3 linked regions of the Saccharomyces cerevisiae S288C genome follow. The gene in region 1 interacts genetically with each later gene. Each region holds a gene or a part of one and is shown on either strand. Other genes may lie near its edges. The genes, in order: SET2, GIM5 and SWC5.

The links.
Region 2: mutations in SET2 (region 1) and GIM5 together harm fitness more than expected from each alone (negative genetic interaction), as found in Saccharomyces cerevisiae (6 studies listed by BioGRID, with this or other methods).
Region 3: mutations in SET2 (region 1) and SWC5 together harm fitness more than expected from each alone (negative genetic interaction), as found in Saccharomyces cerevisiae (6 studies listed by BioGRID, with this or other methods).

The regions. Positions count from the first base shown.
Region 1 is NC_001142.9:102,670-106,428, reverse strand, and holds the start of SET2 (histone methyltransferase SET2), read left to right. Parts: upstream 1-2,000; coding exon 2,001-3,759. Other genes in the region: ERG20 (bifunctional (2E,6E)-farnesyl diphosphate synthase/dimethylallyltranstransferase), read right to left, coding at 357-1,415. UniProt on the Saccharomyces cerevisiae protein: Histone methyltransferase that trimethylates histone H3 'Lys-36' forming H3K36me3. Involved in transcription elongation as well as in transcription repression.
Region 2 is NC_001145.3:80,385-83,508, forward strand, and holds GIM5 (Gim5p), read left to right. Parts: upstream 1-1,890; coding exon 1,891-1,906; intron 1,907-1,989; coding exon 1,990-2,465; downstream 2,466-3,124. Other genes in the region: YML096W (putative asparagine synthase), read left to right, coding at 1-1,102; DNA repair protein RAD10, read right to left, coding at 1,097-1,729; UTP14 (Utp14p), read left to right, coding at 2,706-3,124.
Region 3 is NC_001134.8:681,641-685,075, reverse strand, and holds SWC5 (Swc5p), read left to right. Parts: upstream 1-1,985; coding exon 1,986-2,897; downstream 2,898-3,435. Other genes in the region: DAD3 (Dad3p), read right to left, coding at 1-99; telomere maintenance protein PBP2, read right to left, coding at 407-1,648. UniProt on the Saccharomyces cerevisiae protein: Component of the SWR1 complex which mediates the ATP-dependent exchange of histone H2A for the H2A variant HZT1 leading to transcriptional regulation of selected genes by chromatin remodeling. Involved in chromosome stability.

The sequences.
Region 1 (3,759 bases):
TAGAAGTTTTTGTGTAGTGTTTTGTTGATTATTTGTATTTAACGTACGACAACTTACTCTTAATCGGACTTGCTCAAGTAAACAATGTTCGAGAGATGAGGTCGTTGCTTTTCCTATTATTATATGAATAAAATTTGGGGGGTGGCTCAAGTTTCCTTCTCGTACTACCCGTAATTTCCGATCACGCATTTCTTCATTTTCATTGGCTTAAAAAAAATCCTTGGACTAGTCACGTGGAACGGTAGATCGAGAGATACTATCTTAAAGCTTATACTATATTATATTGGAAGTATATAGTTCTTATACATGGTCCTTATCTAGTTTGAAATCTAATGTTTTATCGATTAGCGTTAGTTCTATTTGCTTCTCTTGTAAACTTTGTTCAAGAACGCAGTTAAGACATCAGCTTTGAAGCCACGAGACTCATCGACCTGAGAAATTTTGGCCTTCAAATCCTTGGCAATAGACTCTTCATATTCGTGGTATAGCTGTTCAATTTTCAAGTCATTGAAAATCTTTTTGCATTTGGCTTCTGCGACTGAGTCCTTCTTACCGTAATTTTCGTCTAAAGTCTTTCTTTGTTCTGCGGAAGCAAGTTCCAATGCCTTGTTGATTACCCAAGAACATTTGTTATCTTGGATATCTGTACCGATCTTACCGATCTGTTCTGGGGTACCGAAGCAGTCTAAGTAGTCATCTTGAATTTGGAAGTATTCACCCAATGGAATCAAGACATCTCTGGCTTGTTTCAAATCCTTTTCATCCGTGATACCGGCAACGTACATGGCCAATGCGACAGGCAAGTAGAAAGAATAGTAAGCAGTCTTGAAAGTAACTATGAAGGAGTGCTTCTTTAGGGAGAACTTACTCAAGTCGACTTTGTCTTCAGGTGCAGTGATTAAGTCCATCAATTGGCCCAATTCGGTTTGGAAGGTGACCTCATGGAACAATTCGGTGATATCTATGTAGTATTTTTCGTTTCTGAAGTGAGATTTCAAAAGCTTGTAGATAGCAGCCTCTAACATGAATGCGTCATTGATGGCAATTTCCCCAACTTCAGGAACCTTGTACCAACATGGTTGGCCTCTTCTGGTAATGGACTTGTCCATCATATCATCGGCGACCAAGAAGTAAGCCTGCAACAACTCAATGCACCAACCTAGAATGGCAACCTTTTCGTATTCTTCTTGCCCCAATTGTTCAACGGTCTTGTTGGAGAGAATAGCATACGTGTCCACAACGGACAAACCTCTATTTAGCTTACCGCCTGGAGTGTTGTAGTTCAATGAGTGGGCATACCAGTCACATGCTTCCTTAGGCATACCGTAAGCCAAAAGCGATGCGTTCAATTCCTCTACTAATTTAGGGAAAACGTTCAAGAATCTCTCTCTCCTAATTTCTTTTTCTGAAGCCATTTCTACGTAATATTTTTGAGTTTATTGTGCCTATGTCAGTCCAATACCTGTTGGTTGAGTTTTTAAAGTTAAAATGAAAACTGATAGAAGAACAATCTATCATAAAGTATTAGTTTCGACATGCGTTTATATATATTTCCTGCCGTTGCTTCCTCTATTTATCGGTCTTTTTCAACAAGGCGTTTCGTTTAGAACCGACGAGAAGAAGCTGACTTCGACTATTGAAAAAAGAATGCTCAATGATATTGCTTGTCACTTCATCAGTATTTAAAATATGTGTAGAGGACGGTGAATATACCGCTTAGAATACCTCACACTGTATATCGCAGTAATAAGGACAGTATCCGTACTTTTACAGATTTGTCACGTGATCAATATCACCTTTAACGTTTTTTTTTTTTTATTCACTGCAAACATGTGAAAAATTCCAAGAAACTATTAGAATTATTGGTAATTTGGTGGTTATTTATCAGAACGTAAGGTCACGTTGGCAGCTTTTCAAAGGGGCTTTCGAACGTGTGATAGAAAACTGCATAGTCGTGCTGTCAAACCTTTCTCCTTTCCTGGTTGTTGTTTTACGTGATCATGTCGAAGAACCAAAGTGTGAGTGCGTCGGAAGATGAAAAAGAAATACTGAATAACAACGCTGAGGGCCATAAACCTCAAAGGCTTTTTGATCAAGAGCCTGATCTCACAGAGGAAGCATTGACCAAATTTGAAAACTTGGATGACTGTATATATGCGAACAAGAGGATCGGAACATTTAAGAATAATGATTTCATGGAATGTGACTGTTATGAAGAATTCTCAGATGGCGTCAACCATGCCTGTGACGAGGATTCTGACTGTATCAATAGACTTACGTTGATAGAATGTGTCAACGATTTGTGTTCATCTTGTGGTAATGATTGTCAAAATCAGAGATTTCAAAAGAAGCAGTACGCTCCGATAGCCATATTTAAAACAAAGCATAAAGGTTATGGCGTAAGAGCCGAACAGGACATAGAAGCCAACCAGTTCATTTACGAGTACAAAGGTGAGGTGATCGAGGAGATGGAATTTAGAGATAGGTTAATAGACTATGACCAACGTCATTTCAAGCATTTTTATTTTATGATGTTACAGAACGGAGAATTCATTGACGCCACAATAAAGGGTTCGTTGGCCAGATTTTGCAATCACTCTTGCAGCCCCAATGCATATGTTAATAAATGGGTTGTTAAGGATAAGCTACGCATGGGAATATTTGCTCAAAGAAAAATTTTAAAAGGTGAGGAAATCACTTTTGATTATAATGTGGATCGTTATGGTGCTCAAGCTCAGAAATGCTACTGTGAGGAGCCAAATTGTATTGGGTTTCTCGGTGGTAAGACTCAAACAGATGCGGCATCTTTATTGCCCCAGAACATCGCTGATGCCTTGGGAGTGACTGTTTCCATGGAGAAAAAATGGCTAAAGTTAAAGAAATTAAGCGGTGAGCCAATAATAAAGAATGAAAACGAGAACATAAATATTGAATTTCTTCAATCATTGGAAGTCCAACCTATCGACAGCCCAGTGGATGTGACGAAGATCATGAGTGTATTACTACAGCAAGATAATAAGATAATTGCATCCAAACTCTTGAAGAGACTTTTTACTATCGATGATGACTCTCTTCGTCATCAGGCTATCAAACTACACGGTTACACCTGTTTTAGCAAAATGCTTAAATTGTTTATCACGGAACAACCTCAGGTAGATGGAAAAGGAAACGAGACTGAAGAAGATGATATAAAGTTTATAAAGGGAATTTTAGATTTTTTGTTGGAATTACCAAAGACAACTCGAAACGGTATTGAGTCGTCACAAATTGATAATGTAGTAAAAACTCTCCCTGCAAAGTTTCCATTTTTAAAGCCAAACTGCGATGAGTTATTGGAGAAATGGTCGAAATTTGAAACATATAAAAGGATAACGAAGAAAGACATAAACGTCGCAGCCAGCAAAATGATAGATTTGAGAAGGGTGAGATTACCTCCAGGCTGGGAGATCATTCACGAAAACGGTCGCCCATTGTATTATAATGCAGAACAGAAAACGAAACTACACTATCCACCTTCGGGATCATCTAAGGTCTTTAGTTCAAGGTCAAATACACAAGTAAATTCTCCGAGTAGCAGTGGAATACCAAAAACGCCTGGCGCTTTAGACTCTAAGAAACATAAGCTGAGTGACGAAGAATATGAGAGGAAGAAACAAAAAAGACTGGAATACGAAAGAATTGCGCTAGAAAGAGCCAAACAAGAAGAATTGGAAAGCCTGAAGCAAAAGCTAAAGCTTGAGAATGAAAGAAAAAGCGTTT
Region 2 (3,124 bases), on another chromosome or scaffold:
TTTGTCTTATTCGGTCACTCCAGACAACGAATTGTACGTCGCTAGTGTAACGGGGTCTGCTGGGTCCTTTCAAGATTGTATAGGTGGAGTTATTTATGAATATGATACACGAACTAAGTTGTTAAATTCCAATCAGAGGTCACATCTTCCATACGAAGTGACATCAGAGATAGATCTGAATTTCACATCATTGTCAGAGGTGTCTAAAAATTTATATGCTGTGCTACGTGATTCTGTAAAAAAAAGGGTAGAGTCCATACATCCCAGGCATATTGAAAACTCTCCTATTGCGGTACTATTCTCAGGAGGAATTGATTGTTCAGTAATAGTAGCGTTGATCTGCGAGGTGTTGCAAGAAAATGATTATAAATGTGGAAAACCAGTTATAGAGCTTCTAAATGTATCCTTCGAAAACCCCAGGACTGGTCTTTTTCCCAGTGATACACCTGATAGAAAACTGTCCATTAACAGTGCAAAGACTTTACAAAACTTATATCCTAATGTTGATATCAAACTGGTTGAAGTTGACGTTCCTTATGATGAGTATTTAAAATGGAAGCCATTTGTTATCAATTTAATGTATCCTAAACAGACTGAAATGGACTTGTCTATAGCCATTGCTTTTTTTTTTGCGTCGAGAGGTAGAGGTTTCTTAACTTCTCTGAATGGGGAAAGAACGCCATATCAGCGCCATGGGATAGTGTTATTCAGCGGACTGGGAGCAGACGAACTCTACGGTGGATATCACAAGTTTGCCAACAAACCACCCCATGAACTTGTGGAGGAACTTACAAGGCAAATAAACAACATTTATGATCGCAACCTGAATCGTGATGATAAAGTGATAGCTCATAATGGCGTGGAGGTGAGATACCCATTTTTAGATGAATATGTTATAAAGTTATCTACAGCAGAAATTCCCATTAATTTCAAGGTTAACAAATTAATCCTTCGAAAAGTTGCCTCGCAGTATTTGAAGTTGGATGGAATATCATCAGAACCAAAAAGGGCCATTCAATTCGGTGCTAAAAGCGCTAAAATGACAAAGGATGGTAATAAGCATGGAACAGATTTATTAAAAGAAAATAGGAATTGTTCATAAATTCAAATATTCAATATATTTTGCAGCTTGTTCAAAATTAAATGCTAAAAGTAGAGTAAATCCGTTGAACATACATAGTTTTGTAATGTCATTAAGGGTATCTTCAGAGTTGTTATCGTCTACTATGAATATCAGTATATTATTTTCGTTTCTAGATAAGGGCTGCATTCTCCTAGAGATATAATCGACATATAATTTGTGATAAGTCAAAGTTAAGAACAGTACACTTCTTCCACGAACTAGATAGTCGTAGTATATCATATTAATTCCTGTTGAAGATACATATCTCCAATTGGTGCTCTTTAAGTGGTTCAGGAGTGGATTTTCTTTTTGGGTAGTGTTCACTAGTACAGTTTTTCCCGGTCGAGTACTCCTGAAGGGTCTCTTTCGATTATAGTCATCTGTAGCCTTTGAGTCGGTCCATTCTTCCGGTTTTTGCTGATTGAAGGCGTTTATGACCTGGTTTGAATTTATGCGTCTTGATGTTTGCGGTTCCTGCTGCTGGAGTTTTGATGCATCTATTTCTAACGATTGAGATCCAGTAGTATCTGCACCACTCTTTTCCTTTCTCAATTTGGCCACACCAGCCAATATACTTTCAAATGAAGTAGGATCAGTATTGTTCATCTTCTAGGATAACCAACTTTGTTTATGCCCTTTTTTGTGTTGCGTGGCTGTCTCATAAGTTACAATTTTCTTTTTTGTTCTAACGATTTTAAATAGAAAAGTGTCTTAGATGAAAATCTTGCTGTGACCCAAACAAGAAAGAGCACTGTAAAAATCAAGCCATGTCCTCTCAAAAAAGTATGTAAATGAATAGCTCCTTCGTTGTTGCCACCGTACAGACACTTTACTAACTTTTAAGTTACTACATGTTCGAAACTTAGTCGATTTAACTAAACTAAATCCCGAGCAGCTGAATGCTGTAAAACAGCAATTCGACCAAGAATTGCAGCATTTCACACAGTCCTTGCAAGCATTAACCATGGCTAAGGGCAAGTTCACAGAATGTATTGATGATATTAAAACAGTCTCCCAAGCAGGAAATGAAGGGCAAAAACTACTGGTTCCAGCATCTGCATCATTATACATCCCAGGTAAGATTGTAGACAATAAGAAATTCATGGTCGACATTGGTACAGGATATTACGTTGAAAAGAGCGCTGAAGCAGCAATCGCATTTTACCAAAAGAAAGTAGACAAGCTTAACAAAGAATCTGTACAGATCCAAGATATTATTAAGGAAAAGACCCAGTATTCCTTGTCCATCGAGGCCCAAATAAGACAAGCCGCTATTAGACAGCATGAAGCGATGAGTAAACAACAACAGCAGCAACAAAAAAAGGAGTCGTCTACAGCCTAGGTAACTCTTTTGCTTTTCCTACGATTTTTCATATCTCATTTGTAGCCATCTGATATACGTTTATCTATATGCAACGTAATTTTTTATTTATCGTCACTTTGTAGTTTTCCGGAAAAGGCCATTGAAAATTTTTCAAATTCCTATGGCGATGAGCTGAAAAAATTCATTAAGTGTGCATTCAATAACATCTTGTTATATACTAATAAAAGAGGCTTCAAGACAAAATAAGCTAACTTAAATATGGCAAAAAAGAAATCTAAGAGCAGATCCAAGAGTTCTAGAAGAGTTTTGGATGCTTTGCAACTTGCTGAGAGAGAAATTAATGGTGAATTCGATAACTCCAGCGACAATGACAAAAGACATGATGCTCGTCGTAATGGTACAGTTGTCAACTTGTTAAAAAGGTCAAAAGGTGACACTAACAGTGATGAAGATGATATCGATTCTGAGTCGTTTGAAGATGAGGAGTTGAACTCTGATGAAGCGTTGGGCTCTGATGATGACTATGACATTTTGAATTCCAAATTCTCACAAACTATTCGTGACAAGAAGGAGAATGCAAACTACCAAGAAGAAGAGGATGAAGGTGGGTATACTTCCATTGATGAAGAAGATTTGATGCCACTGTCTCAAGTGTGGGACATGGATGAGAAAACCGC
Region 3 (3,435 bases), on another chromosome or scaffold:
TAGTTCTTTTATAGTTTCATCCAGAGCTTTTAGATCTAAAGAAAGCTGTTTGTATTTGTCCAATACTTCTTGCTGTAAAGGTGAAAGATTGTGTTCCATACTGTGACTACAACGCCGTGTATGTTTCACAGCGACTTTGACTGGCTACTGTAAGCTCTTCTTTTGTATTCTTTGGAATAGTTTATTTACATGTAATTACTGTAATAGCGCGCAGCCGAGCTAAAAAAAAAAAAAATACAAAGCTTTTGATCAATTTGTTACAAAGAGAAATAATTCCGCGTACGTATTTCTATTGATATTTATATATCTACATTCATTCAATTTATTACCTTTTCTTTTATTTTTTTTGCCTTTTGTAGTTTCTGTATTTTTATTTTCTATGTGTTTTTATTGACTAGCAGTATATTTAGAGGGGCGACCTTCTTTTACGTTCAGCATTTGATCTATCAATTTCAATTTTATTGCTAATCAACATAATAGCAGCTTGGGACGCCATGAACGTACCTCTTATGGTAAGTCTTCTCTCCGAAGAGCCTTCTACAGGATCTTGTATAATAATTGAACAACCTGTGGATTCCTTGACCGAATTTATGTGCTTGCCATCTTTGCCAATGACATTTCCGACAAATTTCTCATCTATGAATATCTCTTGTTGTACAAAGTTCATTAATAAATGGTTGCCGGGTGCCGGACTGATAACAGGGCCGTCTAAGACTGTCACATTAGGGATAACGAAGTTCGGTTGAAAGGCCGTTGCGTTTGCAACGCTAGCAGTAGTATACTGCGGTGTGGCCATACTCAACAAAGTAGATGATATTGGTAAATTTTTGTTGGGTTTGTATGAAAGTAGTTTATCGCTTGGATGATATTGGTGGTTTCTTTGATGGAAAATGGTGTTCGGTTGGCTATGGTCTATTAATACTGAGTTAAACTGAGTTGGCTGATAGTATATGGACCTTTTCACATTTTTCTGCGGAGATTCCATCTGAAAGTTTAGCAATGTTTGACTAATGTAGAAAGTAGCAATATGGATAGCATCCGGAACCCCGTTAATGGTTAAAATTCTATCGTTAGAAAGCAGCAATTGATTCGGGGACGCGAATAATTTTGCTGCACTCAAATCCTCAATTTCTCTTAACCGAGACCCACGTTTGCCAATTATACATCCCATAAGATGATGAGGGATCAATAGGTTGATAGAAATCTCAATGTCTTCCCCGTTATCTTCGTTACCATGTTCTTCAAGCAGCGCTCTTACTATCATGCCGTATGCCTTGGCTACATCATCGCAAGTACCCCTCACGTAAACAATTCTTTCAGGAACACCTCTGATATTATTTGATATGTTTATTCTAGCAGAGGTTTCGGATTTTATTCTAGATATAGTGGCGCCCTTGTGTCCTACTATCAGTGAAGCGTGTTTGACTAAGCACAGCATTCGTAAATGTACATCAGAGGGAACATTGTCGGGGGAATCGTGGTCGTTGTCAGAGTGGCTGTCTGCATCCTTCAGGGCCACGCGTTTGATTTCTGCTTCCAGTTGTTCCTCGCTGGTGTCTTCACCCTTTTTCCTTTTGAGCGTGTTGGGAGAAACGAGTACAGTAGTTGGTGTAGTAGTGATTGATGGTTTTGTAGTCTCTGTGGACATAATTGAGCTAAAGAGTATTACAGAAAGATTATTTAATGCCGCGCTGGACGATTAAAATTGTTAGAGTGGATGTGGCTATGGATAAGTTTGAATATGAAAAAGGTTACTTATGCGGCTAACGACTAGGTGCGTATTTATCGTTTGACGAGTATGTACGTGTTTTCTTTTGTATCATGATATTTCGTGTAAGTACCATATCGGGGAAAGACAAAAAAAAGTGAATTAAAGAGCGAAGTTTAAAGATGATGAATAGGATTAATCGACAAGTAAGAAAAAAGACGAAAAGGCGTAAACTGGAATAATATTGTTTCAAGAAAGAAAACCCACTAGCCTATAAATGCCAGAAGTAGAGACAAAGATTATACCAAACGAAAAGGAGGACGAGGACGAGGACGGCTACATAGAAGAGGAGGACGAGGACTTCCAGCCTGAAAAAGATAAATTAGGTGGTGGTAGCGACGATAGTGATGCCAGCGATGGCGGTGACGACTATGATGACGGTGTGAACAGAGATAAGGGTAGAAATAAAGTGGACTATTCGCGTATAGAGAGCGAGAGCGGCGGACTGATCAAGACTAGAAGAGCTCGGCAAGCTGAGGAAGAATATGCGAAAACACATAAGTATGAATCGTTAACTGTTGAATCGATCCCTGCAAAAGTAAACAGCATCTGGGAGGAGCTACAGGAAGCTAGTAAGAACCGTCTTTTGAGCAGTTCAGGGAAAGTCGGCTCTGTTCTCGACGGTTCCAAGGAGGCTAGGTCGACAACGGCCGCGCAACAGGAGGACAAAATCCTCATCGAAAGAAACTACAAGTTTGCTGGTGAAACTGTCCATGAGAAAAAATGGGTTTCACGCAGCAGTGCGGAGGGTCAAGAATATCTAAACAGTTTGAAATTTAAGCAGCAGGCGCCTGCTGCTCCTGTTCAACTGGAAAAAGCAGTTAGGACCAAGTCCAATGAAAGCCGGCAACACTTGCGACGGCCACTGAAAAGGCCTCCATTGTTGGAGCAGATCATTTCTGGCGGGCTACGACCCAAGCTAACGACATTAGAAAAATCTCAGCTGGACTGGGCTAGTTATGTAGACCGTGCTGGACTTAACGACGAATTGGTGCTGCACAACAAGGATGGGTTCTTGGCCCGGCAAGAATTTCTGCAGCGGGTCGGGTCTGCAGAGGACGAGAGATACAAAGAATTGCGCCGGCAACAACTTGCTCAGCAGTTGCAGCAGGATAGCGAAGCTTCATAGACAAATATTACATGTATTAAATAACATGCTTTTCTGCTCAAATTTTTTTAACCGCCGAGGCCTGCACACTTTCACTACGTGTATAACGATGCTGCAGACAAAGTAATGGGGTGTATGGGTGTGGGTGGCAAAAAAAACCTAGCAACGCTCTATGTTTCTTTTCTTTTTTCTTTCTTTTTTTTTTTTTGCCGTTTCCGATGGGCCACTCGGTGAAAACATATAAAAAGGGCTCTACATTCATTTTTTCATCGATGAGTACTTTACTTGTTATCAGATTTATTCATTTTGTTTCTACTTGTTTTTTTTTTAAATCCCCACGAATCTCTTTGCCTTTTGGCTTAGATCAAGTGTAGTATCTGTTCTTTTCAGTGTAACAACTGAAATGACCTCAATGAGGCTCATTACCTTTTAATTTGTTACAATACACATTTTTTGGCACCCAAAATAATAAAATGGACGGGAAGAGACTTTTTAAGCAAGTTGTTTTCCGCTAATGTCAGGTCTCACTACTTTTTGCTGCTATTTTTCTTCGCTCATG